Linked DNA regions of Schizosaccharomyces pombe. The protein of the gene in region 1 binds, or shares a complex with, the protein of each later gene. Each region holds a gene or a part of one and is shown in the gene's direction. Other genes may lie near its edges. The genes, in order: mrpl12, mrpl1, img2 and mrp20.

Region 1 (8,074 bases):
CAGTTGGTTATATTTTCCTTCTCTTACAACTATTTCGTTCAGAATTTTGGTCTATTCTCATTTTCTACCCTTCTTCTTTTCTTTTTTGCATCCTATTTATTCTATTAATTTGAAATGCCTCTAAAAAGTATGTCTTCTTACTTCCTTTGAATTTGTATAGTGTGCTAATTTAATTTACAAAAGATTATACAAAGACTACGTCTAAAAAAGAACCTAAACAATTAGATATTGCTGCTTCTGATCAACAAATTGAGCAGTGGAGTGATCAGATCCACAAATTAGATAAAGCGATTCGTTCTACAATCGATAACTCTCGACTCTTCTATGATGCTTGGAGATGCATGGTTTGTATAGCTCCCTCCGTCACTGCCTCTTGGATTTCTTTGTACAGACAGTTACCTCCTGAAAAACAACCTGCTGCTTCTGTCGGAACATTGGTCGATTGGAACAAGGCCTTGGAACGTCAACGTCGTGAAGTCTTGCTTGCCCTGCAAAATTTCCATGTCATAGTTATTGCTCCTTGCAAGGAGGTCAAAGGCTATGTAAAGAAGGCAGTTGAAATGATTAAAAGAAGAGATAAAAAAGTAAAAGAACTTGAAAAAATTCAAAAAGAATTATTGGTTGTTTACGAATTGCCTGATCCTGAAACCAAAAAAAGTAAAATTAAAGCATTACAAAGCCAGCTTGTCCGTGTCAATGGTGAATTGGATGACCTTCAGAAGCATTTAACTTTGTCCTTCCCAACTCTTATTGCAAAAAGTCGTGTTTTTTTTGGACAACTTATGAAGCATTTTTACTGCTTGCAACTTCAAATGTTTCGAAAAATGCACAACATTGTTCGCCCTTGGGATTGTTTTCAAGACGATATTCCCCAAACGTGGCTCGTTGAGTTTTCCTCAGTTTGCCAGGCTGCTGAAAGCATTTCCTTAATTGCCGTAAACAACAACCGTCCTCCCGTAGAACTTCCAAAATCTGGTGATGTTTTATCAAATAGAGAGTGGGAAGCTGGAAAAATTGATGCCATGAATTCTCTCATCGCTCAGAATTTGCATACTTCAGCGTCTCAGGTAAGCCTTTCGCCTATGGCTAGTACCGCTAGCTCTTCTGTTACAAATTCTCCCGTTGACACACATACTCCTTCAACTCCAATTATGTCGCGTCCTCCATCCATGAAAGCCCTTTCTTCTGGTGTAGAGTCCCAAGATGAATCGGTTGCTAGTAGTAATTTTCAAGTTCCAATTATATCGAATCCGCTTTTTAAATCCCCTGCACCTTATTCACCAACATCCGTTATCTCCAATCATTCCTCCACCGGTAAATCCCTGGTGATTTCTGAATGGGCATACCTTGCCTCAGGAAGTGCGAATGTGGTGTTTGAGTATGTTGGTAAAAATCCTTACTTTCAAGACAAGGTAATTCGTCTTCGACGTCGAGGACAGGTTTTTACTACAGAACAAGTTTATGAATACTATCAAAATGTAATTTATCCTTTGTTTGCTGGAATGGAAAGCTTTTTAATTGAGGTTTTTTTGCAGCCAGTTACTAGGGATTTTTTGCTGGCGGCCCAAAATGCTTCTGGTATTTATTTAAATTTAAATGAGCAATACTGTTTGGTAATGAAAGATCTCAAAGATGGAATTGAAATGAAACCAAAATGGTTGACTCAGTCCCCTGCCGCTCCACCTGACTGGGTTGTTTGTCGAACGTGTGCCCTTAGCCGTATGCGTGGTAGACCCGTTGGTTTTTGTCCTCTACAGCTTGATTTCAACAATTGGCCCAAGTTTTTGTGCTGTCTTCAAGGATTTGTGAGTCCTGATATCGCAATGAGATTGTTTCAGTCTGGTATACTACGGAAGCTTCGTGACCTACAAGAGCAATACTCTCGTACTGATGTTGCGTTAGCGATGACCCTTCGAGATGTGACTTTATACATTGGTAAAGATCACATAACATTACTAGATTTAGATCCTAAAGACATGAATACCAAAATGTCTAAATGGGAACGTGATGAAAGGAATTTGATTGAAGGCGGTTGGTACTATGGTCGTGGGATGAAGTCTACTGACAAAGCATGCCGGAGCAGCATAAAGTAATTATCTCATTGTTAATTTTTTTTCTAATATGTAATACCACCATCAATTTGTGGATTTATTGCAATATTTCAATACATTATGCATTTTTGTTTTATTTGTTATATGCCTGATAATTAACAGGGAGATAAAAGCATAAAAATAAAGGGTTAGATTTATTTGTTCTCTTCAACTAACTGTTGAACACTTAATAATTCTAGAGCATTTTTTACTACGAGGTTAGTTTATTTTCTAATTATTACTAATGAAAAATTAATAAGATCCATTGAACATATTTTAGATATTTGATGAATGATCACCTAAAAGTTGTAGTTACTATACTTAACTTGCCAACCCCCATCTCACTTGCACCTTACTTCACCTCAAGTATAATTTTAAAATACAGCATGTTTCGCATCGCATCACGCCAAACAAGAAATCTGTAAGATTGTAATTATTTTTAATTAACAAATTTATACTAACTTTAAAAGACGTGCTTTATCTTCCAGTAAGAACTGGGCAAGATCGTTGGTAAACACGCGATCATTTCGAGCTGCCGCATCTGTACAAAACAATAATGCCCAAATTGGGGAAATGGTTGACAAAATAAGCTCTCTATCATTGTTAGAGACGTCTGAACTTGTAAAGCAATTAAAGGAGAAGTTAAACATTGCTGAAATAGCTCCGATGGCAGCAGTGGCTCCAGCAGTAGCTTCAGCCGCTCCTTCTGAAGAGAAAGCTCCTGAGGAAAAGAAAGAGGAAAAAACCACCTGGAATTTGAAACTCGAATCGTTTGATGCTGGTTCGAAAGCCAAGGTGATCAAAGAGGTGAAGTCTCTTTTGGGATTATCTCTTGTGGACGCAAAGAAATTCGTTGAAAGTGCTCCAAAGGTTTTGAAAGAAAATATTTTGAAAGAGGATGCTGAAGCTATAAAATCGAAGTTAGAGAAACTTTCTTGTAAAGTAGTCCTCGAATAAACTGGGTTGTTTATAAAAAATTTCATTTCTATGCTTTTCCGCCATTCAAATTCTTTGGGCAACCTTTTTGTTATTGCTTTGACATTGTGACACGATTTACTTTCTTGGATTCCCATAAAAACTAAGCTACGGAGGGAAAATTCATCATCTCTAAAAAAACCAGATATTAGGTAATGTATAAAATACTCCAAAATTATTAGTTAATTATATGTTTTTATTCTATTTGGGTTACACTCTATGTTTTCGCTCTTCGGTTCAGGAAGTTGCATGAAGACATTCATTAAACTTTTCGTATTCATCCTTTAGGGATTCCAAATCGCTTTCAGTAATTCCTTGGGTAGTGTTCCATGCAATTTCCGCTTCTAACTCTGGTTCTGAAATAGCCCAAATGTTTTCACGCATTCTTTTGTGTCGCTCTCTGTCTTCTTCAATCCTCTTAAGAATGTCGTTTTTTGAAATGGCTCCTGAAGTACTGGTATCACCTGACTTGCTCGCTTGTTCATGGGCTTCTACCGTAGCCATAGCATCTTTATATTGATTATCATCGATTACCTTCTTTTCATGCAAAGACTGGAGTACTTTTCTAACCTCTGGAGCGTTAGCAGCTCCAGCAGCTCCTATAGGAGCTACGTTCTGGACTAGCTTACAGATATCTCTACTAATCATATTAAGATATCCACCTGTAAGGCCATTTTTTAAGCACATCTCACAGAGTGTGTCCACAAAGTACATGATATTCACTCTTGTATTGAACGAACCTGACTCTAGTTCCTCCCATATACATGAATATAAGTCTTCTTCCAAGTCTAGATGCTTAATTGCAAATTGCGCGGGTTTAATTTGAGAGAATTGCGATGCATTCAATTTTCCCAAAAGCTGTAGAAATGTCATGCGGCCCTCAAATGGATCCATTTTATTATTGCAAGTATATTGGTAATTGCGAGTGCAACAACGATTTTTGTTATGATGGTTTTTCTTATACTTCGTGAACTTTGAATTCCAAAAACATCAAGAATAATTTTTTAAATAATAATAATGTGTGTTGTCTTAAATTTCAAATATAGAATAAACTTCCTTTGCCAAGTGTTCATCTATTCTTGAAGCTGCAATCTCTGAAATTTGAGACTAAAAAAAGCGTTGGGATACTATTTTGCGAAAGGACGTTGAACCTTTCCAGATTCAAATAAATTAAAATATACTCAGTGCATAAGTAATATTAAGAGGTCTTCAAACTGTTAGCATGTTGCAAAATCTGTTGCTTTAAGTAGCATGTTACTTTATTTCAAACACTATTACTGTACCTTTAAAGAAACTAAAATCTCATTTTATTAAATACTACTTTTTTAGTAATTTCAACAGCGAAATAGTAAATTTTCAAAGATATTTTTATATAGCCCTGATAAAGTTATAACCATTCACCAAACTGTTAGGATCTCTGAGTATAAATAGCGGGAAAGAATAACTACTATACTTTAATAAAAGCACAAAAACCGACCTTACTTATATGGTAAAATGAAACCCATGAATCAGTAAACAATTTTTATTTTTTTATACGCTCTACTAAGTCGTACATACAAAATCAACATTTCCTTTCAATAAAGAACTGCTTTGAAATCTAAAATGGCCAGCGACAAACTTATAAGGTTTGCCTAAAAAGTAAATATAATGGAGAAAAATACTCTCGAAAAGAGAAAAAAAATGCAGGATGTATTGTTCAAGGAGAAAAATATAACAACGGGATAATGATATAATGGAAATACACCCGTCAAGTTGCAAGTAAAAGCGATCCTAAGCAGAATAAGCTTCTACAAACTCAACATAATCAGGACTTAACTCAACACCTGATCCTTGAGCCTCCTTGATAGCATTGCAAGCTTCCTTCAAGTAATTATCCTGACTAGCCTCGTCTTGAACAATTTGAGCCAGATCCATCTTTATATCCGCAAGTTTTAACAAGCGTTCAGGAGATTTATCCAGAGTATAAATAACATTCCAGGTATCGACAGAATTGTTGAGCCAGCTGGAAGCCTTGTTGATTAGGTCATCTACATTACTTTCACTGTTGTCGAGCAAATCCATATAATATTCCGCGAAGGTAGTATAATTATTTAGAACAGCCTCTTGAGCGATTAACTTATAATAGGCAGGAGTGTTGGGATCGACAACAGATTTTAACCACAATGCAGTTATAATTGAACAGACATCAAGGAGAAAAGCTTCAGAGAATTGATCACCGAATTGAAAGAGGTAGGAAGAGAGAATGTATAATGGGCGTAAAGAATCGGGGGTAAGAGCATCAAAATATTCAGTGGAATCCTGAGCAAGAGGACGAAGGTATTGGATGGCCTTCTCAATATATGGGTTTACCAACTGAGTGACCGGGATGTTGGCAAGAGATTCCTCGTTATCGTGACGCCAAACAAGAACACGTACCTTCTCAAGGTAAGCACGAGCAAGAGCAAGGAAAAGTCTCGATTCGTTGCCAGGAGCATCCAAGCCAAGTTGAGCTCTCTCGATTGCAGCATCTATGTAGGATTCTTCGGTATTGGTTTCCTTAAGACGCTTTTGTGCAATTTCGAAAAGCTCGGACACAGCCAAAAGAGCGGAGGAATAGGCCGCGTGAAAGTCCTTGGGTAATGTAGAAATGTCCTCGGTATTCCGTAATATTCTATCAGCCTCGTGAATGGTACCAAAGACAAGGCTCACACTAGCATCTATATCGTCATTTTCCAACTTTTCGCGACTCATCTCGTATAAACCCCAAAGTTGTGAAATATTGTCTTCCTCTGTGTAAACAAGCATTGTCTCATCCTCCATTTCTCCATTGTCGACATTTTCGCTTCCGTTTTCCTTACTAGGAGACGAGTTTCCTGACAGCTCATAAGAGGCTTCTTGCTTTTGTTTTTCAAGCTGCTGCTGCTTCTTTAAAGAAGCAGCAGCGCGTAGACCTTGAGGTCTTCTTCCAATCATAACGAACCGTTAAATTAACCTGTTTTGCTAAGGCAGCGTTGACATCGAGTGATTTTTTCTACCCAAAAATCGCGCGGGAAACTTGTTAGCAAGTTACAACGTAATGTGGTATTGTTGTTGCGTTGTCGGCCATGTGCGTTAAACCTAATAAGAGCATGGCGTAACAAAAACAATACCGTCGTTTTGTGGCTGTGGAAAACGAGTTACCAGAAGCTTGGAGAACTTGACATGTTAAAATGTATTAGTGGAAAGTATAGAGGCTCGTAATACAGTCGTACATATTGACTTGTTTACAAAAATTGATGATTTTAAATTGTGAAGGGGAAGCTTATTTTAAACATCTAATTATGCAGCAAGATACATTAACACGTTTTGGATTTTCATTGTTAAAAAAAAAGAGCAAAATTAAAAAGGAGATGGAAGAAAGTAAAGCTTTATGACTTCAGCGGATCTAGAGCAATTGAAGTAAACATATCTAGCCGAAATTTAACTTAGTAAATTGATTAAGATAGGTTTCTGTAAAGGAGATCTATGATATTCAAAATGCGGCAATATTTCTTAGGGCTTATGGCGCAAAAAGGTGCTATACAAAATTGCCAGCACGAGATAACATTGAAGATTTGGCAGTTTTGTAATGTAACGCTAATCTTTATTAAACAATAATATAATACGAAATCGCAACTTTTATGTGGTTTTGACCGTTTCTTTGGCAGGGAATTTGAATTCGTTTCTTAGTTTTTGAACGATATCTGATCAACGAGTTTGTTTATTTTAATTTTTTTAAACGGCTGCTTTATGGTAATGGACCAAGATTGCTCCAGCACCTTAAAAATACAGCACTAGTATATATATTTCGGTCGCCATATCAATAAATTACTTGATTCAGGTGCCGAAGTAATAAGTACTTAGGATGAATGTACTAGATGAAATTGAAAGTTTGTTAGCCAATTATAAAACAAAATAAAGCCTTTTTTACCATTTGATGACAGAATTTCTAATTTTTTTAATATTACTAAGTTATCTTGAACAATTAGTCATGTCCGAGGCTCGGACATAACAACATGCTAGTTTATAAAAGCACTACATTGTTTCACACAGTAAAAGAATACTCAGATATTCATTTACATTATTAACATCATGACCTTGCCTGAAAAATTACTGAAGATTACTCCCAAAATCCTGGTTATTATGGGAAGCGTTCGCAGCAAACGCTTATGTCCAACTATTGCAACGTGGGTTGGTGAGATGGGAAAAAGAGAGACTAATTTTGACTACGAAAAAGTTGATTTAACTGATTGGCCTCTATCTATGAGCGATGAACCCGGACTTCCAATTATGGGAATAGATGTGTACACTCAGGAACATACTAAGGCCTGGGGGTCCAAAATTGCTGGAGCAGATGGTTTTGTTTTTGTAACTCCGCAATACAATGGTGGATATCCTGCAATCCTTAAAAATGCCTTAGACCACTTGTATCACGAGTGGAATGGAAAACCGCTTTTGATTGTAAGCTATGGTGGCCATGGAGGAGGAGATTGTGCTTCGCAACTAAAACATGTTGCCGGTTTTCTTAAGATGCGAGTCGCGCCTACCATGCCAGCGCTCACGTTACCCAGAGATAAAATTGTTCAAGGTGTAGTCGACCCAGCGGTTGAATTTACAAAGCACCTTGGTGAACTTAAGAAAGCCTTCGGTGAGTTTTCTCAGTTGTTTGAAAGCAATCCTGAAAGGAAACCCTAGATAATTAAAACATAAGAGTATTTTGAAAGCTAGTATAGAGTGCATTTAATAAAGTCTGTTTTTTGTTTTTTTTTAAAAAGCCAATTTTCCAGTAAATCTGTTTGGTTTTAGATTTTATTCACATGGATAGATCTATTACTGTCATATCAACTTACCAATGGACTCTAATACCTTAATCCTTCCTGCTGTTCGTGTTGCCTAATGAAGGATTTTTAGCACGCATGTATTAGTAAACACGGTTCATATTCAGTCATTGTGTAATACGAATTTGTTCAGCAGTAAAAGTTCCCTTTAAAATTATATTTTAATACAATTTC
Region 2 (7,458 bases), on another chromosome or scaffold:
AAAGGATCGCATATGAACCACACTAGATTCGAAAGCCAAAAAGGAACGAGATTACCGGATTTTAGATAGTATTAGTTAAAGTTCCAAATACACAATAAAACATTTACTAATAAGTTAATAATTCTTAAAACAAATACTATAGTGAATAATTGTTGTCTGATGGCACCCGAAGGTTGTATAGTAGTTGTGTCTATTGAGTAGTGTCGTAGATGTTATATCAAAATACCTTAACCCAGCAGTATAATATTCTTGGAAAATCATTGGATATTGTTAACCCTTAAATCTGTATATGTTTATTTATTTGTTCAGTCAAACAATCATAAAAACAAAAAAACAAAGAATTTTGCATTTTGTTAATTTAGACGAATTCATTGTTCATAAACAGTGACAAAATCCGAGGTTTATACAAGTATTTGAAGAAAACGGTATTCGACAGAATGAAGCTTTAAGTCTAAAATGGATTAGAAGGAACTGAAATGAGCTACATAAATTGCTCTTAATATTGGAGAACTGCTAACATTTATAACCTTTTTAATGATTACACTAAATCTTCACCTATTGCTTTTCACTTACTTTAATGGTCATTCGATTCAAACTTATTTTATCTAAATCTATTACCTTTTGCCAGTAAAATACTGTATAGTTAGTTAGCAAAGAATATAGGCGAGTAAAGCTCTAAACTATCATACTTCTAAAATCAAAGAAAACCAAAGAAAAAAGCAGATGAAAGAATTTAGTAACATCTGGATTTTGAGTAATAAACTGATTGACCTAACTTATTGACAGGTTGTGCGATATCAGTTGGTTTGCCAAAAACAACAATAATTGAAAATTTATGAATGGATTCACCAGAATATTAGCCTAATTGCTTTTTGATTCATTTAAGGAAATTCAACTTTTAATTTGAAATCAGCGAAAGCCGAAAAAAGGATGGTATGAATTTGAAATATTTTTTAATGCGAGCAGGTAATATTGACTTTAATAATAAAATAAAATAAAATGTCATTATAAATGCGATTTGAGGATTTAGTAGAGATATGGATAAAACAGATATGAACCAAACTGCATGAATATTAGGAAATCAAGTTGTAAATATAAAACAAGCATTTTTAAAAAAAAACAAAAAATATTACTCTAAAAATGTTAAGAGGTCAATTTAAGGTTTGTTTACTCTCATTTGTTATGGTGGTAATAGTTTCAGTCATGCATCATCGAAATGTAAACAAACAGCGATCCTATATATACCAAAAACAACAACCATTCCTTTCCATCACACATCTTTTTTGAGATAAAATGAACAATTCAAAACTCTCTGTCCCCGGACAGTATGAAGATGAAAGCAGTACTATATATGTAGGAAATATAGATTCCCGACTTTCTGATGAAGAAATCATCAAACACTTTTCAAAATATGGTATGAACACACAAGTCAAGGATAAAAACACGAGGAAAAACATTAGAAAACATAAATAAAAGCGATATATTAATCAATTCTTTAGGACAAGTAGAATCCATCTTTCGTCGATTACTTGATAGTTTTTATCCTAAGGAAAAAGCGAAACCTTTTAAACCTCCTAAAAATGGAGTGCAATATGGGTTCGTCAAATTCGTTAATGCTGAAAGCATTGAAGAAGTTCTAAAGGACGCTAAAGGAATGACTCTGGGCCAAAGAAAATTGTAAGTGACTGAAGGGAAAAATTAGAGACAAGCATTACAGAAAAAAAAATCGAAAAATCATTCTCCAAAAAATTACTAACCTAAAAAAAAGGACCATTAAAGCAAGAGTCGTAAATCCTGCGAAACTGACAGACAAAAAATTCAAACCTAACGATACGTCAATCACTGCGAACGTGTTCAATCCTAGCATCCAAAACAATACAGATGAGGAAAACGTTAAGCCAGGACTCAAACAGTCTCAGATTAAGGAATTTATTCCAAATGTCGAAGAAAGAAATTGGGAAACTGTGAGAGGCATAAATTCGCGTAACCCGAAGCCAGAAACAACGCTTACCATACCGTCTCTTGGTTTGGAAGATATTAGCATGCAAGTTGTACCAAATGCCTTCGCTTCTACGTTACCCCTTAGTATCTTGAACCTACCTGCCGAAGTCACACCGATTGACTTATATAACCACTTTAAACAGGCTGGTGTAGTAAAAGGGACGGCGGTCAGCCAGTTTCTTGACCAAAGAGGGTTCCGGTATGGCGAAGTGATTATGGATTCAGTTGAATCATGTCAAAATGTAAGCTCAATATGAAGAGAAAACCCCAATATTTGCATAATCTATTTCATGATACTAACCTCATTATTAAGGCAATAGAAAAATTAAATAACGTTCCATACAAAGGAAGCATTTTAGAGGTCAGTATAAAAAATAAAGCCTCTTCTTCAGTGAAGTCAATTCCCACAACGCCGACTGGTGAAAGCTTATGGCCTTTCCCATCGGAAAACGCTAACAAAACTCAAATAAATATCGAAAATGCTACATGTTCGAAGATGACATGGATTATGGGCTCACCAACTAAGGAGAAAAGCCAATGGGGTAGCGTTTCAACTACCGGTGTTTCAAATCAGCAAAATCATCCAGCCGCTTGGAACCCAGATAATAAACCTCAGTCAATCGTGCATTGGGACTCTTTACGTGAAAGCTCTCCAAGTATCCCTAATTCTCCTATTGACCCTTCAAATCTATACGTTAAAAATTTAGATGATACCGTCATCACATGCAAGAGTCAGCTGGAAGATTTATTCTCACCCTTCGGGTCGATTTTGTCTTCCATGTTAGCATGCTATCCAAATTCAGGAATCTCCAAAGGTTATGGTTTCGTAGCGTTTCGTCAAATAGAGGCTGCCGTTAGAGCCAAAGACACATTGAATGGAATGATGGTTGGGAAAAAAAGGATTTTCGTTTGCTTCGCGGAGCGAAAGTCTGACAGAATTCGTAGATTGCAAGCATTTTTTGCAAACAAACCTACTTCAGAACAAACAGCGCAGCAAGACAACAAAGCTTTGTTCGTCAAACCAGAAAGAAGCTCTACTGTTACCATCCGAAAGCCAATAGAGTCTTCTACAAACAAAATCTCTGAGAATCCCACGACCCTTTCAAGTAAGGTTGAAAATAAGAATGAGCCTAAGACTGGTGAAAACAAAGAACCCAGTCAGACAAATGAATATGTTAACTGTAAGCAAGAAAATAAGGAACTTAGTGGACAGTTATCAGGCAACTTGGATATAAAGAAAGAAGCAGGAAAATTGAGCCATGACGGAGAACAAGGAAACTTGTTAAAACCATTGGTATTCCATGCTAACACAAAACTAAATAACCGAGGGTCTGCTAAGATGGGTTCAACAGCCACCAACTTGAAGAAGATACAAGACATGCTTCACAACAAAAAGCTGAGTAATGCATACTTTGTGCCAAGAGCAAGAGCAACAACCTGTACAACTCTTACGTACGTAACAGTTGAGCCCTCACATTTCCAAGATGAGGACTGTAATGAGTCAACGAACATGCTTTCACTTGTCGGGTACATGGACAGCTATCCAGAAGCTACATCCAATATCCAAAAAATGAATTCCTATCATATTAAAGATTCAAATAAGGAAAATTTTTTATCAACAACAAAGGTTAACAACAATTCACCAACAACTATTCAGTTGACGCAGATTTAACAAGATGCGGTGAAGATATAACTATGAAACAAAATTCATAATGCTATATCCCTCAAAACTCCGATGAACAAACTTTTAACTCCTTAAAATATATACATCGTGAACGGATGGATTTGCTAGTATAACCCTACAGTATCTTACAACTACCACAACGTGGAATTTAAACGAAACCGTTTATTTTTAGTCTTTAATCAAAAACATTATAAGGAAATTTGATTTGAAAGATAATTCTTTATTAATTCGAAAGTTGACAGCTGGATCAGATTTGTTTAGAGATTTATGATTTTAGCAGGTTCATTGACTGACATCCAGTAGCTTGGTGACAGTTTGACGAACCAGATTAAAAACCATGAGTTCATTAATAGCGTTAGGTAAACGGCAAACATTATTGTCACATAATGAATTTTTAAATTTTAAAAATCAAAAGGGTTTCTGCAAAAGGTTTATTTCTCAACTAAACAAGAAATCCAATTTTCCCGCTCTTGCGATGACAGTTCCTGAAGCCACAAAATATCTCAAATCTGTGAGCATTTCTGTTCCATATGTTGGGTCTTATATGCTTTCAATTGCTTTAAAAAGTAATCGACGCGCTCCGTCAGCTCGTGGTCAAATTGCCTTTCCTCATCCATTTCAAGAGCCTCCTAAAATTTGTGTGTTTGCTAAAGGTGCAGCTGCAGATGAAGCTTTAAAATTGGGTGCAACCTATGTTGGTGCAGAAGACTTAGTAAAAAAAATTCAAACAGAGCCCCTTGAATTTTCAAAGTGCTTTGCTCATCCCAACTCGGCAGAATTACTACCACAAGTTGCTAAATTATTAGGATCAAAACGTCTTATGCCTTCAATAAAACGAGGTACTATATCAGATGAATTGAAGCCACTCATTGAATCTGCCCTCACAGCTGTTGACTATCGGCAAAATGATGCAGGCTCGATAAATTTGCCGGTTGGAAAACTAGGGTTCAGCGACAAGGAGCTACAAGAAAACATCGAAGCACTTGTATCAAATGTTCGGTTTACTTTGGCCAAACTGCCTGGAAAAGTTAAAGTTACCGTAAAGCATGTTCATCTTTCCGCCTCACATGCTATTGCAATTCCTCTCCAGTATAAATAATGATTAAAATGTTATTGCATGGGAAATTTAGTCTACAGTCTTGTCATTTGTAATATGTATTACATGATTAATTTTGTACAAATTAGTGAAATGTGTAATGATATTTTATCTAGTAAATTTAGAAGCCTGTTTATATTTATTTATTATCATAAACTACTTTTTAAAAAGTATGAATGAAACGTTAGAATACAACATTATGAAAGTTACTCTGTGCGATGCCATTTCAGAACAGGCGATTCCGGAGAATCAAATCTGTTATCACAAGCTGAGGTATCTACGTTTTCAGCCGTAACCCACTGGTGATTTGGATCAAAAAATAAGGACATAGGGTTTCCCATACTCGCGTTTTCAACATCATTATCTGAGGAAAAAGTGTCCGGATGTAGAGATTGGCAAGTACAAAGAGCCTGGTAACATGAATCAACATCAGTAACATATAATGTTAGTTCTAAAAAATCATCTGTGAATTCATTTTCATCTTCGGTAGAAGGAGCTTCATGCAATGTTCCTGACGACCGTTCAAATTTAAGAATGTGATCTAGCAAGGGTCGAATGGCTTCACCCTCTAATTGAACATATACATATGGCTTATCCTTGCTTTGTTTCGCATGAAGAGTAATGGTTTCATATGGAATTTTCCAGCCAGAATTCTGTTCTTCATCAAAAAGGATAAAGCTCTGTGAAGTTACTAATAAAGTTATCAATTTGCCCAAAGGAAAACTTTCCTCATCACTTCTAATTTTATAGGGGACTGTTTTTTCTTCAAAATAAACGATTTCTTGATTTGGCAACAACTTTTCACCATTTTCAACTTTGCGAATTAGGTCCTTTGGAAGTGAGTCAATTTTGGTAATCATAATTACTTCTTGCTTCCAATAGGTATTTAAGCATAAAAATTATTAAAAAACAGTAATAAGGCCACCTCTACCTGATAATTTATTGAAAGAAAAGGTTTACTGTGCGTTGTATTCTTTTGAAGTACTCAAATACAATATCTTCGCATATTAAGCATTTCGCAAAATCGAAAATATATTTCTACTCTTAACCACACGAATTTTTTATAAATTGAACCATTATGCCAAACAGGATATCGATTTTACTCAAATACTTTTGATATGCAATTTTCGTAAATGACAAGCTAGTTATTCATTGCAATTACAAAACAAACTCATGAATATAAATAGTTTTGTGGAAAAAATAAAGGAAAGGTCTAAGGTCTTTATGAAGTAATCCTCGTTACCCAAAAAATTGGGACTCAAAACTTTTGAAATTGGATTTTTTATTTTATATAGTAAACAGATTTATAAGTGTAGCGAAATAAAGCTAAGAATTTTTTAGCAACCAATTCATTGCTATATAAGGTTATACATTGATTTGGATACATGTAATGAATTAGCATCAGTGGATCGTTTCTCTCATAAAGGTGGGTCTTTCTAAAGTATACGAGATTGACTTTCAAACACCAACTTTCCAAATCAAACTTCGAAAGACTTTTTTAAAGCTAGTGACAAGGTTGGAGCAGAAGATTCTCCAAGCCAGTTTTTAGTTAATTAATAGAATGAAAACAAATCGAAAAGTTCAAAAATCAAAATTAGCAAGGCAAGATTCTGGTCATCAGTATATAATTAAATGATGGCAGTATGTGGATGCAAATCCTCCAAGATAATTTTTTAGTGAACAATTTAATCAATAAATTTTCAAAGTAAGATACCATAACATGCATGCAGGGTTTTCTTCAAATATTTTTTAGGACAAAAGTATACTTTAATTTACGCATTGAATTTAAGAATCACTTGTTGCGTAAACTGGAATCGTGGTTGACACTACTTGGCAGCTGTAAATACAGCAAATCGAGTTTGTCAAGTATAGATTTTGTGGCATTCTCCATTGAGTTAGAACTGTTTTCAGGAGATGCAACTTTCATGATATTTCCATGTTGTTTGTACACTTTAGAGGTTGTAAATAAAGAGGGAGTAGCCATTAAACCTTTTTCATCAAATGACAAAGTATAAAGCCAAACAAGACTTTGAAACCAATTATTCATAGGGACACTCCAAATAAAGTAGCGAAAATTGGGAACTCGAGGATGTACATCATTTAGCACAGAGTTAGCTAATAGTTTAACAGCTTCGTCAGTAGTTGATAATTCTTCATTCATTTTCTTGTATACAGGTAGAGAAAACTGAGATATAATGGCTAGAATAGAATCCAATTCAAGTCTTGAATGCCAAGAATTAAACCACGAGTTGGAAGGTGCAAACAAATTTGAGTCAATTTCTAAATCTTTTCCAAACGGATTGGATGCACATTTTTTAATAAGTTCTGAACTAGAAACATTTTCCGGTATTTTCCCACGCAACTTTCTAGACAGAACCAATGGAGAATCTGAGAATACATCTTGAAGGACTGTCGGGACAGAAATCGAAACATTTCTACTCGAAATATGTGATAAGCCACCGCGTGAACTACTGCTACTAAAAGGGGAGGAAAATTTATCTAATTCATCGAAAGGTGAATCATCTTCAACGGTAGCAACTTTTTTAAAGTCAGTATTTTGGAGTGGTGTTCCATCTAAGGAGGTGTTATCGGATGATTTAGATTCAAAATCACTACTTCCTTCCGAATTGAGGGCCACTAAAGGCTGTGATTTAGTCTGAGCAACGGCAGGAAGTTT
Region 3 (7,292 bases), on another chromosome or scaffold:
AAAAAGGCTAGGCCTGTTTACATTGGTATTCCTTCTGATGCTGGCTACTTCAAAGCATCTTCATCAAATCTTGGGAAAAGACTAAAGCTCGAGGAGGATACTAACGATCCAGCAGTTGAGCAAGAAGTCATCAATCATATCTCGGAAATGGTTGTCAATGCAAAGAAACCAGTGATTTTAATTGACGCTTGTGCTGTAAGACATCGTGTCGTTCCAGAAGTACATGAGCTGATTAAATTGACCCATTTCCCTACATATGTAACTCCCATGGGTAAATCTGCAATTGACGAAACTTCGCAATTTTTTGACGGCGTTTATGTTGGTTCAATTTCAGATCCTGAAGTTAAAGACAGAATTGAATCCACTGATCTGTTGCTATCCATCGGTGCTCTCAAATCAGACTTTAACACGGGTTCCTTCTCTTACCACCTCAGCCAAAAGAATGCCGTTGAGTTTCATTCAGACCACATGCGCATTCGATATGCTCTTTATCCAAATGTAGCCATGAAGTATATTCTTCGCAAACTGTTGAAAGTACTTGATGCTTCTATGTGTCATTCCAAGGCTGCTCCTACCATTGGCTACAACATCAAGCCTAAGCATGCGGAAGGATATTCTTCCAACGAGATTACTCATTGCTGGTTTTGGCCTAAATTTAGTGAATTTTTGAAGCCCCGAGATGTTTTGATCACCGAGACTGGAACTGCAAACTTTGGTGTCCTTGATTGCAGGTTTCCAAAGGATGTAACAGCCATTTCCCAGGTATTATGGGGATCTATTGGATACTCCGTTGGTGCAATGTTTGGTGCTGTTTTGGCCGTCCACGATTCTAAAGAGCCCGATCGTCGTACCATTCTTGTAGTAGGTGATGGATCCTTACAACTGACGATTACAGAGATTTCAACCTGCATTCGCCATAACCTCAAACCAATTATTTTCATAATTAACAACGACGGTTACACCATTGAGCGTTTAATTCATGGTTTGCATGCTAGCTATAACGAAATTAACACTAAATGGGGCTACCAACAGATTCCCAAGTTTTTCGGAGCTGCTGAAAACCACTTCCGCACTTACTGTGTTAAAACTCCTACTGACGTTGAAAAGTTGTTTAGCGACAAGGAGTTTGCAAATGCAGATGTCATTCAAGTAGTTGAGCTTGTAATGCCTATGTTGGATGCACCTCGTGTCCTAGTTGAGCAAGCCAAGTTGACGTCTAAGATCAATAAGCAATGAGCAAGCTATTGAGAGTGGAATTGGCAAACAAAGTTTCCTTTGATTTATATGTTTTTTATGATAAGCCCATTCAATTCATATAGTCTTTTAGTATAATGATTAGTTATTAAATTTATGTTTAAAGCAACTTTTTAGTTTAAAATTTTTCAAGTCAAGTTAGGGTGTACGTAAACAAACAATACCTTGGAAGCAATGAATGAAAAGGTAGAGTTAATCCAAACAATGTGGAAACCAGTTTCCTTGCATCTACTTACTAGTTTCGCAGAAAAATTGCTAAACTGCTTAAAAGCCAACTTTAACATTCTTATTTCTTACATAGGAGCTACCGTTCCATTCACATTGTGATATGCTAAGAATTTATTAGTTTTACAAAAATTGGGTGATTCTACTATTTAATACAGTGGTTTTGTAACGTAATGAAATTATAACGCTCGTTTATTACGATTTCCTAGGTAATGTAGCGGGTAAAGGCAATTGACTGATATTATGTATCACTCTATCACAGCAACGGACGAACGGTTTGCGTTGTTGTTTATAAATGGTTCTGCAACGCAGCTTCTGACTTTGACACTCTACACCACACCATACTTCAGCGCTCTATTCTTTCGCATAGGAAGGTAAGCTGCATTTCGTGGCGTTTGGTACCTTGAAAAAATATATTTTGGTTAATATTCGTTGGCTTTTTCTTTTAATTCTTGCTACTAATTCCAAGAATTGTGTAAGTATAGGAAGAGGCTGTGTTGATCGGTTAGTTTCGTAATTTCGGCATACTAGTGATTCCTAAAATACCGACTACTAATAATTATAAAGCTTAGATCACTTCTTTGGCTAAAGTAATTAAACCAGGAAGTCTTAAAATTCCGCTTTTTAGCATCCTAAAAATTTCCCCGTCATTTCTCAAAAGTGTTAAACGCGTGAATGTTCTCAAAGCTCTGTTTTCTTTTCTTTGCTTTTTGAACGGCTTTGTCTTTGCATTAATTTTTGTGACGCGTTTTGTGCCTCCAATAGGTAATTAATCTAAATCCGTTTAAAAAGTTGTAGGTGACTTTTTATTTTATTACGTTTTGCTTTCATAAAAAAATCCATTTCCTTCTGTGCGTTGCATATTCATTAATATATCACTTTGATATACATTAAGGTGAATTAGAAATTATTGAGCTCCTCTCCCTTTGTTATTATTTCACGCTTTTTCTCAGGCCCACTTATAGTCCTCTGAGGAATTTTTTATCTTTTTTTTTAAAATACCAACTCAGTTTTTGTCGAGTGATTCTTCTTTTTTATTCATTCATTCGGTTAACTAAGTTCCCTATATTATTTTGTTTTCTACTACAAGCATTACGTTTTGTTTTTCAGTGAGCTTGTTTCGCATCTCTGACCAAAAGGAAGCAAATTGACGGCTAGTGTATTTTTGACTCGTCACATTCTTTTGTCTATCTTTGCCAATTTTTCAAATTATTATATATCTTCGAGATTAACCTCCATTCTTTAGGCTTATTCTCGTAATTTCCTTCTCAATTGAGTTCAATTTTATTAATATTGATTTCATCTGATATATTTTTTCCTTGGACTTTTTCTAGATTATATTTGTTTGCGCGCAATTTACTTATTAAATATGCCTGAAGGAGCCGGTAGACCGTGGAATCTCACAGAACTTGAAGAAGAGAAGTTGAAGACTATGTGGAGTTATTTGTTTAAGCTCTTCGGCATTACTTTACTCGAAAGAACTGAATCTTGGTACACAGTGAAGACACACTTATCTGATGATTCAAGTAGTTCCTCATCACATCGTTTAAGCAGCGTCTCATATGCGAAATCCCGTACACGACTTGAACTAACGTCTTCATCTCATGGCTCGGACACTCGCAGTTTTAATGATAAAACCAAAAATGTGCATTTGGAAAGAGTTGAAAAAATTGCAAGTGAATGGGACCCGGAAGGGCTTAGAGTTTGCTTTTGGGATGCTGTTAATTGTGATGATCCTGATGGCCTTCTACTTCGTTTCCTTCGTGCTCGAAAATGGAACGTTGAGGCTGCGTTGGAAATGTTCATGAAAACCGTTCACTGGAGAAGTAGAGAGATGAATGTTGGTGAAATTGTATGTAACGCTGACCACCTTGATAAAGATGATGATTTTGTGCGTCAACTAAGAATCGGAAAGTGTTTTATATTCGGTGAAGATAAACACAATCGTCCAGTTTGTTATATTCGCGCACGTCTTCATAAAGTTGGTGATGTCTCACCCGAATCGGTTGAGCGACTCACAGTTTGGGTCATGGAAACTGCTCGTTTAATTCTCAAACCTCCTATTGAAACTGCTACTGTTGTTTTTGATATGACTGATTTCAGTATGTCCAATATGGACTATGGGCCATTGAAATTCATGATCAAGTGTTTTGAAGCACACTATCCCGAATGTCTGGGTGAATGTATTGTACACAAAGCGCCTTGGCTTTTCCAAGGCGTTTGGTCCATCATCAAATCTTGGCTTGATCCAGTGGTTGTCTCAAAGGTTAAATTCACTCGTAATTATCGTGATTTGCAACAATATATAAATCCTGACAATATTTTAAAAGAATTCGGTGGGCCTAATCCATGGAGATATACATATCCAGAACCCTGTCAAAACGAAGCAGAAGCTCTGAAGAATGTTGAAGCTCGTAAGAGTCTTAGAGCAAAAAAGGATGCAATTGCTAAACAGTACGAGGAAGTTACAATGGATTGGATTTTGAACAATGGTGACATGGCAGAAGTGAAACAAAAACGTCGTAAGTTAGCTTCACAACTTATTGATGCATACTGGAACTTGGATAAATACATCCGCGCACGCTCAGTTTACGACCGCATGGGCCTAATTGCTCCTCAAACTTCCCATACTTTGCTTCTTTCTCAACCTACAAATGGAGATGTCAAAGAATCAATGGTAGAAGTTACTAGCTCGGCAACTTAGTCGGTCGTAACTTTCAATATTCCTGCTATTTTACATTGTAATCCTTCCCCTTGCCTATACTCCCGTATACTGACTAATTGTACTTTCCCGTGTTATTCTAAATAAGATGCTGGCTCAAAATATGATTGTATCATCTATTAATGCATAACTTTCAAGATCTTTTATATCAATTAGTTACATATGAAATCTCTTTCCTACGTTGATTTTTACACCCCTTTTCGTTTTACCATTTCCTTATCGCTTTAATTTTTTAGCACTCTCTTTAATGCACTTAAAATCATCTAGAAAGGGATAACTTTTTTTAGGTCTTATGGCTTTTCATTGAAGTTGTTGGTCGCAATACTTATCCATCCATTTTGTCTTTATTAGAATCAATGATCAGTTTTATTTGCAAATTAACTTAGATTTCTTGCTATTTATTATTATTTTTTATTTTATTGTAGGAAAGCGGTTCGAAATTAAAAAAAACAACAAGCTGAACACCTAAATGCCTACTCCAAAATATAGTATTAATTTAATGAGTATGCACCTTCGCTGAAGTATATTCCGTGCCGTAAAAATACTTTCGAGTTTAAACACGCGTGAGGTTCAAGCACCGATTAAATTTATTTAAAACAAGAGCGTTTTATTTTATTTTAATTGTTCTTAGTGAATCACTTAATCTTAGGCTCCTGTTTGACAGTTGTTTAAAACTTACAAATTTTTGGAGGTTATGATAGAAATCCTCTTTATTCGCGAATGCACGACGACTTCTTTTACACATCCACCATAAATTCCTGCAACTCGTAGAAAGTTTTGTTGAACCAAATGCGATCATCCTTAAAGCCAGTGCTATCAAATTTGAGGTTCAACTCAACAATTGCATCCGAATCACTTCGGTTTCATGTTTCACGTACACCTTCAAAAAATCTCCCAGTCTATCTAGACTACAAACAACGAGGAACGAAAATTCTGACTTTAATTCGTAAAATCCATGGTGATTCTAATGTAAGTATACATATTCCGTCAGCAGTAATCTCTTGGCTAAAGAAAGTACAAGTAAAGTCACTATGCTGCGGAAATTGTTCTATCAACTTTTTGCTTTAACGGCCAACCCAAGTTTATTTTAACTTCTTTTATTCGTTCTCTTTTTTTTTTCTAACAATATTTTATCAATAGGCTTTGCGGCTCAGGCTCATTTCCACACTTAAAATGTCACCGAAAGATGTTTATGTAAACAAGTTAACAAATCAAGTTGTCCTAAAGGGAAATCACATAGTCACAGTTCGTGAATGGTTACAAGACCAAGGTTTTTAAGTTCCTAGAATTTTTCCTTTTTTAGATTGTTACTATGTATGTACGTATCCTTCTTTCAAAGGAATGATAAAGTTGCTTTTTATCAACATAAAACTCTCGAGCATATATATCAATTTGGCTTTTTAGCATATTACTTTTACTTCATCTCCTTGTTACAGCGGTGATAATGTCAAATAAAACACAGCTGTTGCAAATAATTAATCTCGATTCATTTCTTCTCATCATACGTGGTTTTCAAACTTGACAATGGAAAAAATGCATCTTTTGTGATGGTTTTCCTTAACTACCTTTAAATAAATAGTTATTCGAGCTTCAGTAGAAACATTCAAGAGGTACTTGCGTAAAAAGAAATTCAAACATCTGCTTAATGTGAGGCGTCCAAATGCTAAATACAATCTTTTTTTTGCTACCTATTCGTTTGTTTTGTTGAATTTATAAACGCTTAAAGGAAATTATAATATATATATCGAAACTCCGGTGTTTTTATTTTTTGACTGTAGTTATAGACAGAATACGTTTAAGGCTATTAGGGTATATAACTAAATTAAAAATTCTTTTCTCAATATTGTATAGTTTGTAAATTGACAAATATTAAATGCTATATCGAAAACATACCTTCAAACATAATCTATATATCTGCGTCATACGCCCATGGACTGTTCTTTACCTTTCCCTTCACACATACTTATAATCCTGAAATCTCAACGACTTTTTCATTATTTTTGAATTGAACTTGGATTTGTCTGTGATAGGAATATTTTGACAAACATTTTTAGCTTTTAAAATTTTTGCTTTGTTCTGAAGACGTTGATTTACAATTTGCTTATGAATTAATTATTCACGAGAAGAAAATTCCTTGTAGTTTATCCCTTTTTTATTGGTGATTATAAGCTGAATAACTCTTAATGTTGGGAATTATATTTTCTTTAGTGAACTGAGGCTTTCTCGAAAAATACTTACGGTTATCCATGATTTAATGATTTTCTGTTTTTTTTGTTATTTTTTTTTCGTTTATCAAAAAGTGGTTAAGCATTGACACGATATAAGGCACTTTATTTCCGTGTTGAATTTTTTGTTTTGTTTTTTCTTGACATTAATACCTTACTTTCCTTGAATGCGAACAAACCGCATTCATTTGTATTCGATTATCGAAAGCCTTTTATTCCTTTTCTTTTTCTTTTTTATTAATGCCAGCTTGTTATTGTGCGACATCAACGTCTCTTGAAAATAATGAATTGCTATACAAAAATATTCGAAACTTGTTCTCTACTAGCAGGAGTTTTCCAATCGAACAAGAATGGATGAATTTGAAATCGATAAGTCAGATGAAAGACTTTTTTTCAAACTTTCCTGGTAATAGTAAGGCGAACAACCACTTTCTCTGTAATTCTCCATTGAAATTCGAAATTTTTAACAATGAGAAATCTGTTAAACCTTCAAATGGGCCTCATCTGTTCACGAGATGTTCATGTCGTTGTAATAAATTATTGTCTGGTGATTATATAACTCAACAACAACCAATTGATGCTTCTGCTGAACATTCTCTTAACGCCAAAGGTATAAATACCTATTCATTGAAGAACTGCTTTCAAAGGAGTGGTTTTATAGGATCATACGAGGAGAGTTTGTTTAGTGGTCACATGCCTTACTGTTCATCAGTACCTTTTGAGTTTTCCATAGAAATTGGGGTTATTTCGTTTTGCCGATGCAAGCCTTCACTTGTTTTCCCGCCACATTTAAAAATAAATTTTGTGGCTTACTCACTCGTTGGAAATGTTGATAATGTGCAATTTCCTTATATCGGTCGATTTCG
Region 4 (6,942 bases), on another chromosome or scaffold:
GTTGGGATAATCTTAGAAAGGCTGGTGTTGTTTTCAATGAACGTTTATACAATCACGTATACCTTTTGGCCTTCGAAAGTAAAAATGAGCGTGTCATAAATTATGTACTTACCAACATTTTTGAGGATATGGTTAGCCAGTCACCCCCCATTCCAGCTAGTAAATTAATGGCGACATCTTTAAAAAAATGTGTTCAAAGCTTACCCGAAAAGTATGCACATTCGTTTCCATCAGTGCGAAATTATATTGCAAAAATGGAAAACTCAATGACGCATTGAATCTGATGTTATTGTACTTTCTACGTATGCATATACGCGCATTTGTAATGTTTACTTTAAAACCTACCCCTTCTTTCATTAGTTCAATAAGAACAAGTAATAAATATTAACAATAGTATTTTATAATTTACCCAGTTGTAAATAAACCTAAACTAAAATTTTTTAACGCCGATGCAAAAATTCATGCATTTAGTTACCCAAAAATATAAATTATCGATGCTTTTTTGACGGCCGATTGTTTTTGGCAAGTCGTTTCTCTTTGAGCTCACGCGCCTTTCTAATTTCAACAGCTGATTTAAGCTCACTGTTCACCTTAATACCTATTCCTCTTTCTTTAGCCTCTCTATTACGTTTATTTTGTTTGTGATAGTTATCACGGAACTTATCAGCTGGTTTTGGAGTCTGTAACTTATTATGTTTATATCGCTTATTTTCCCGTATAGGAGAATCGTTGGCACCGAATGCTTTAGATGCTTTCCATTCATCAAAACGACCACTACGATATGTTGCAGGCAATTTCACGCCGCTTTCGCCACGAATTATCTTGGGAGACCCTTTGGACCCGTCTTCGTCGTTAATTATATTAACAAATTTCTTTTTCTTTGGATCCCAACGTTGTCCCCCCTTCCTTGATTGTTCAATTCCTTCGTCATTTGTTAAATCGAGAATAGCATGACGAGCTGCGGTAGTAAAATTTTCACCAGAATTTATAGCATAGCCAGTTTCTTGAATAGATTCCTTTGGAGCGTAATGAGACATATAATACTCTTTATCTTTAAAATCAGTTGTCTTCTTTTTTGATAACTCCTTAGGATTTTTAAATACCTCTTCAAGCTCTGACTCTGAAGCTTCTGACATATTACCAGGAGAACTGTCAGTGATTTTATCAGATGCAACTTCAGATTTTATTCCTTTTGGTTTTACTTTGTTTCTTCTTTTCCGCATGATTTCTGCAGCTTCTGTCTTTAAGTGACCACGCTGACCGATTTCAAATACTGTTTCTGATGGCCGATAAGAAGAAACTTTTGAAAGCAATTCAGCATATTTCTCCTCGGCCTCAATTACCGATACATCTCCAAATAATGGATTGTTGGAACTCCAGCCCTTGCTATCAACCAATTCCTTAGCTCTTTTAGCACTCTCAGCACTACAAGTAGCTCTTGTGCGAAAATATAGTTTCTCACCCCTTGCAGCAACGTTGGAAAGTTGCTGTAGCTCAACGTCTCTCGAAACTATTCTTTGTACCCATTCTAGTAGCTCAGCAACAAGTTCTTGGGGTAATGATCCCAAAACAATCTGTTTTGTAAAATCACAATCCGAGTCAGTTTTAACCTGCTTCGAGGATGTAACTAAAGGTCGGTTTAAAAATAGTTGTAAGTCTAATAAATAACCAGCATCTTCTGCTCTAACCAATGAATACGCCCAGCCAGTGCGTCCTGCTCGAGCTGTACGTCCTACACGGTGAACAAAAACTTTTGGTTGAGGAGGGAAATCATAATTAATAACATTAGCAAGTAATGGGATGTCAATACCACGAGAAGCTACGTCTGTAACGACTAGTAAATTTGTTTTTCCAAGTCGAAAATTATTAATTTCATTGAGACGCGCTTCTTGGTCCAAAGACCCGTAAATTTTTGAAACCGAATATCCTGCTTGAACAAGTAACTCAGAAACATACTCGACATGATGTTTTGTAGGAACAAATACTAGAGTAGAATCTGGTGATCCAGATTCACTTCCTTTAAGCGCTAATTCTAATGCACGTTTTCTTTTCTTCGGATTATTGACATTTCCTATTTCTCTTGGGCGCACGTTATCTTTTAGAGGAAGCTTAATGATATCTTGTAGTATACATAAGAGAGCAGCTTCGCGTTCAGCGGTTTTAACAGAAAAAAAGGCACTTTGTAGATCCGCGGAAACCTTGGATTCTACATCAAGGCGTACAAGAACCGGGTCTTGAAGTCCAGCCTTTGCAAAATCAACAAGAGTACGTGGAAGTGTGGCAGAGAAGAGAAGAGTTTGACGAGAAGTCGGCAAAGCATGTAAAATCTCTGTCAATTGAGCAGCAAAACCCATTTCAAAAAGTCTATCGGCCTCATCGAAAACGACATACTCGATTGAACTCAACTCCAATTTCATTTCCACCTTTAAATGTAGAAATCTTCCAGGAGTTGCGACCACAATATCGGGTTTTCCGGATAGCAAACTAAATTGCTCCTCTAGACTGACGCCACCGACGATAGCGACAGATCGAAGATCCGTACCTTTAGAAAAGTCTTTGACGACTTTCACAGTCTGAAGAGCAAGTTCTCGATTTGGCGAGAGAATTAAGGCGCGAGTATTAGAGTTTGCTAGAGTGGACTTCAAATGCTCAATCATAGGTATAACAAAAGCTGCAGTTTTACCTGATCCAGTACGTGCCATACCTACAACATCACGACCTTCCAATAAAAGGGGAATCGTTTTGCGCTGAATCGGCGTAGGAGCTTTAAAACCCTTCTTAAATATTGCTCGAAGTAAAGTTTGATTCAATCCTATAATTAAGTTAGAAAAATATCAAAGTAATTTAGATTACAGTGTCTTGAAGCATAATGCAAAGTGACCTTATGGCAAGTAATCACGAAGTTAACATACCCATCGATTGGAAATTAGAAGCCTTTCCATTCCCCTTTTTTCCCTTCGTCCTCCTGTTAGACTCCAAAAGCTTCGAGGCAATATAATTACCATCATCTTCATCGCTCACATTTTCACCAACATTTTCGTGCTTATCTTTTTGATTATCAGTAGCAATATCAACAGGAAAAGCTTTTAAAGAATTTGATATATCGACCTCGTCGGACGTCTGGAATCCGGACATTTAAGACGAGTGAGCTGCACTTTTGTTGATTTTTTAGTTCTCTAGTGTCGCTGGCAAGAAAATTTACCGTATGAATAACAACTATCAAAAGGGCCTTCTTAAGTTTGATTTAACATTCTCATTTCAATTGTTCTGCTGCGTTTCTTTATATTAAAAATAAGTAATCCAACGTATTTTAATAAACTATAACGAACTTGAAATAAGCTGCTTTATATGTCAGCAATACTACACTACGCTACGATATACTACGTTGTGTATCACTATATGTCACATGTTCATAATGTTCTATTTGCTCTATCAGCTTTACATGATAAGTTATCTAGAAGGATATAATATCATTTATGATAAGATGACTATCAGTTATAATCCTTGTTATTTCAAATGTTATAAATTGAGAACAACTGAATTTGATTCCTCAGTTCAGTTATAAGATATCTCAGCTATAGATAACGATATATCCTATATATTAGAATACCTATATCCAATTCCTACTTATACTACTTGCGTATTACAATATAATAGATCACAAGGAAAACTCACCGCAGTTCTACGTATCCTTAAATCAGATACCAAATTGCGTAGCTTACATATATTACGTTCTAGGATAATACAACCAGAGACGTTATTTGTTAATAGTATACAACTGAGCTTTGATGCAATAAAGCAACCGGATTCTCAGCACGTTAGTACTAAACAACATTTGAACTCCGTAATCCAACAAATGGTTAATAACTAATCGTTTACCTAAGGCCGTTGACATCAAATTCATCTTGAAATCTACTGTTGAGAAAAACCATTTGTTTCTCTTTTTTTGCATAACTAGCACAAGTTGCTTTAGCCTTGAAGTTGAAACTCAATAGTAAATATGAGTAAAATTGCTGGGAAAAGATTAGTGTACTTTCCAAATATAACGTTCACGTTATGCAGAGGACTAAATCTTCAACCTAAATTTGCAGTATTTCGCGTACCTCTTCATGTTAACAAGTTTGATGTTCGCGATTATTTGCAACATGTGTACAATTTAAAAGTCGTATCAGTTAAGTCAAGAATTTATCAGGGCAAACTTTTTAGAAATCAACTAGGACAGGTTAAGAGACCACAATCTGAAAAACGCGTCATCGTTGAGATGGAAGAACCTTTCGTTTACCCAAATGCCCCAAATGATTTGAAAGATTGGCAGGAGGGTGAATTACTTCCTGATGGTTCTAATGTGAAAACCCTGAGCAGGTATCCAAAGGTCCTTGAACAAGTTGACATGAAACGGGTGAACGAAGAGTTAAGTAAGTTACAAGATAAGCAGATACTCGAATCACAACAGAAAATCGCTAGACTTTTAAAGAAAAAGTATTAGTATTTTTTTCATTTCCCAGGTAATGTTTTATTTTGGTTTCCGTCTATTCATTAATGCCTACAAAAGCATAATTATAGCCTCAAATGCCTCATCGAAGCGGTATGGTGTTTAATTGCATTCATTATAACCTCTCTTCTTTCATCTATTAAACTTTCAACGCCACTTGTTTCATTTTGAAATGTTCTAAAACTATTTTGGAAATTCTTTTCATGTCGGAAAAGCACGGTCGTCAATTAATAAAATAATAATTTTGTATCACAATACTTCTTAAATGCGTATCTCGCAAGTTCCAGCCCTAGTTGAGTACCTTACCCATTTAATACTTTTGTATTTGCTATTAGAAGGTTCACTGACCCTTAAGTATTGCACATGTAGACCGGAGCTGGTAAACATAAGAATATTGAAATCTAAGGATATTGGAGGCTTCGCCCATATTTGCTGGTTAGTTGTATTAGATAACTCTACCTCAGCGTAAAAAATAAGTTCAGTTTCGCCTAAAAACCGGGGAATTTTCCAATTGATAATATTTTCAGAGGGCTCGTACCCTGCCTTTCCTCGATTTACACGAGGATTAGCTTTTACCACATTTGTGGGAACCGGTATCCGAAAGTTCAAAGAAGAAGAAAGTTTGTGTGGATAGTCTGCTCGTATACTGATACGATAAATAATTTTTTGTTTCGACAACTGTTCGACAATAGGAACAATTCTAAAAGGAATATTTATGTTTTCATGTGAACGATAACTCATTAATTCAACCTCACCATCCGGCGGAATGAAAGTAATTCTGTGTTCATTTTCAAATTCCGGCAATCTAACACATTGATGAAACTGGCAATCTTCTAAAATGACAAATCCTCCGTTAACTGAGGACGGATTTCTAGAGTTATTTGATTTAGACTTGCTTTCTGATTGTTTTAATTTAAAATCAAGCTTATCATTTAGCCCAAACTGACATTCAGGCATTCCAGAAAGCATTGCACGCATTTTCACGACACCAGAAACATCTGAGCGTAGCACATTTCCAGTAGAGCTAATAAGTAAATTCATTCTTTCAACAATATCAATGTAGATACTATTTTTTCTATACTTAATGCCAGCTCTACGCCATGGTACAGACCCTGGTATTTCAGAGGAAGTGGTGTGTGCCAACTGAGAGGAATGAGACCTTTTCAAGGACAGTGCATTGCCTTTCTTTTTGACAGCTGTTATGCTGACAGATCTTGCAAGTGCGTCAGGTTCAGTAGTCTGAATGATACCATAGTCTATCATTTCATCCAGCAACTCGAAAATAAAGGAGACATTGTCTTTGACTGTATTTTCATTCAGTTTCCCAAAATAATGTGTCAAATCTTGAATTAGACTCTCCAAAAATTCCAAAACAATCATAACATTTGGATTTCCTTTGGTAATGGCAACCACGTAAAGATCCTCGTGTTTCGTGTAAATGTAAGTACTTGATCCAATACTGACAATTGGGTGCCGATAATCAGTATTTGTTAGAATAGCAACGCGAAAAATTTCAGTTACTGATTTCCTTTCAAATGAAAAATTAGTGAAAATGAATCAAAAGCACAAAAATGTAATCTACATACTTTAAATCATGCCGAAAAGTCTTGCAAATGAGCGTGTCACCTTTCAGGTTAAAAATAAACAATCCCTAATATAGTTAGCTACAAATAGAATATTAATACTAACCGAAATCATGGAATATTGATAATATGCAAATGTAACAAGTACTGAGTATCTGACTACAGGCAGTTGAACGTAGCTTTGAACGATATGCAACGAAACGTACAGGCTATTCAACCCCGTTATAAGAATAAACGTAGACGGTCCAAGAGGTATTTTATTGCAAATGGAATAGGAGAAAATTATGCCATATAACTGTCAGTAAACAAGATGCTTTTAATAAAATTAAATAACTTTATTTCCTAGTAGGATGATTGAGGCAGTAGCAAGCAATACATTAAAATTTACAGTCCTTACAGAATCATGTAAAAGAGATGACGTTTCGACTGTCTTGCGGTCATTACCAATTTAAATTGGTGAATGTCGAGTAATGTCTTTGCAATAACTAGCAACTGCTGAAGCAATTCTATCTTTGTTTGATATCGCATATTAATAAGATGCTTATAAAGAGGTAAGTAGGTATTTAAATTACACCAACGACTTTTCATTCCTCAACTTCGCTTCTTGCAATTCATAATGCAAGTGGATTTAGTATAAACTAGTATACTTACAGTAATTACATAAAACATGGACCAAGTTTTATCGAAGGTTACAACTACTGCAGCAACATATGCAACAGCTTATGCTGTTAGAACTGGACTTCAATTGGCTGGTTCCCTAGTTGCTAAACGATTCTCTAAATACATACAAGTATGTTGGTTTTTTAAAAATGGTTTATAACAAATTTAGACGTCTGCTCCAAAGTCCTCTCAGTTTAACTTGGAGTT

Evidence for each region.
Region 2: mrpl12 (region 1) and mrpl1 share a complex: the UniProt entries of both Schizosaccharomyces pombe proteins name them as parts of the mitochondrial large ribosomal subunit.
Region 3: mrpl12 (region 1) and img2 share a complex: the UniProt entries of both Schizosaccharomyces pombe proteins name them as parts of the mitochondrial large ribosomal subunit.
Region 4: mrpl12 (region 1) and mrp20 share a complex: the UniProt entries of both Schizosaccharomyces pombe proteins name them as parts of the mitochondrial large ribosomal subunit.

What each region holds. Positions count from the first base shown.
Region 1 is NC_003421.2:1,158,034-1,166,107, forward strand, and holds mrpl12 (mitochondrial 54S ribosomal protein bL12m), read left to right. Parts: upstream 1-2,422; 5' UTR 2,423-2,476; coding exon 2,477-2,511; intron 2,512-2,560; coding exon 2,561-3,047; 3' UTR 3,048-3,302; coding exon of another isoform or gene 3,303-3,959; 3' UTR 3,960-4,283; downstream 4,284-8,074. Other genes in the region: ipk1 (inositol 1,3,4,5,6-pentakisphosphate (IP5) kinase), read left to right, coding at 115-127, 184-2,093; Lsk1 complex gamma subunit lsg1, read right to left, coding at 3,303-3,959; protein Nro1, read right to left, coding at 4,836-6,017; SPOM_SPCC4B3.06C (NADPH-dependent FMN reductase), read left to right, coding at 7,155-7,757. UniProt on the Schizosaccharomyces pombe protein: Component of the mitochondrial ribosome (mitoribosome), a dedicated translation machinery responsible for the synthesis of mitochondrial genome-encoded proteins, including at least some of the essential transmembrane subunits of the mitochondrial respiratory chain.
Region 2 is NC_003424.3:1,788,808-1,796,265, reverse strand, and holds mrpl1 (mitochondrial 54S ribosomal protein uL1m), read left to right. Parts: upstream 1-3,814; 5' UTR 3,815-4,022; coding exon 4,023-4,784; 3' UTR 4,785-4,866; downstream 4,867-7,458. Other genes in the region: poly(A)-binding protein Crp79, read left to right, coding at 1,294-1,414, 1,500-1,677, 1,769-2,243, 2,315-3,673; protein saf5, read right to left, coding at 4,988-5,641; ftp105 (Ubp5 interacting protein Ftp10), read right to left, coding at 6,574-7,458. UniProt on the Schizosaccharomyces pombe protein: Component of the mitochondrial ribosome (mitoribosome), a dedicated translation machinery responsible for the synthesis of mitochondrial genome-encoded proteins, including at least some of the essential transmembrane subunits of the mitochondrial respiratory chain.
Region 3 is NC_003424.3:586,077-593,368, forward strand, and holds img2 (mitochondrial 54S ribosomal protein mL49), read left to right. Parts: upstream 1-4,990; coding exon 4,991-5,170; exon of another isoform or gene 5,171-5,341; coding exon 5,342-5,479; 3' UTR 5,480-6,076; downstream 6,077-7,292. Other genes in the region: pdc202 (pyruvate decarboxylase), read left to right, coding at 1-1,236; csr102 (sec14 cytosolic factor family phosphatidylinositol transporter), read left to right, coding at 2,849-4,183; SPOM_SPAC3H8.04 (chromosome segregation protein), read left to right, coding at 6,667-7,292. UniProt on the Schizosaccharomyces pombe protein: Component of the mitochondrial ribosome (mitoribosome), a dedicated translation machinery responsible for the synthesis of mitochondrial genome-encoded proteins, including at least some of the essential transmembrane subunits of the mitochondrial respiratory chain.
Region 4 is NC_003424.3:399,060-406,001, forward strand, and holds mrp20 (mitochondrial 54S ribosomal protein uL23m), read left to right. Parts: upstream 1-3,826; 5' UTR 3,827-4,000; coding exon 4,001-4,486; 3' UTR 4,487-4,753; downstream 4,754-6,942. Other genes in the region: ATP synthase complex assembly protein atp25, read left to right, coding at 1-278; ATP-dependent RNA helicase Dbp10, read right to left, coding at 489-2,812, 2,913-3,135; AP-2 adaptor complex subunit Apm4, read right to left, coding at 4,754-6,020, 6,079-6,143, 6,182-6,190; SPOM_SPAC31A2.10 (Ran GTPase binding protein), read left to right, coding at 6,743-6,865, 6,905-6,942. UniProt on the Schizosaccharomyces pombe protein: Component of the mitochondrial ribosome (mitoribosome), a dedicated translation machinery responsible for the synthesis of mitochondrial genome-encoded proteins, including at least some of the essential transmembrane subunits of the mitochondrial respiratory chain.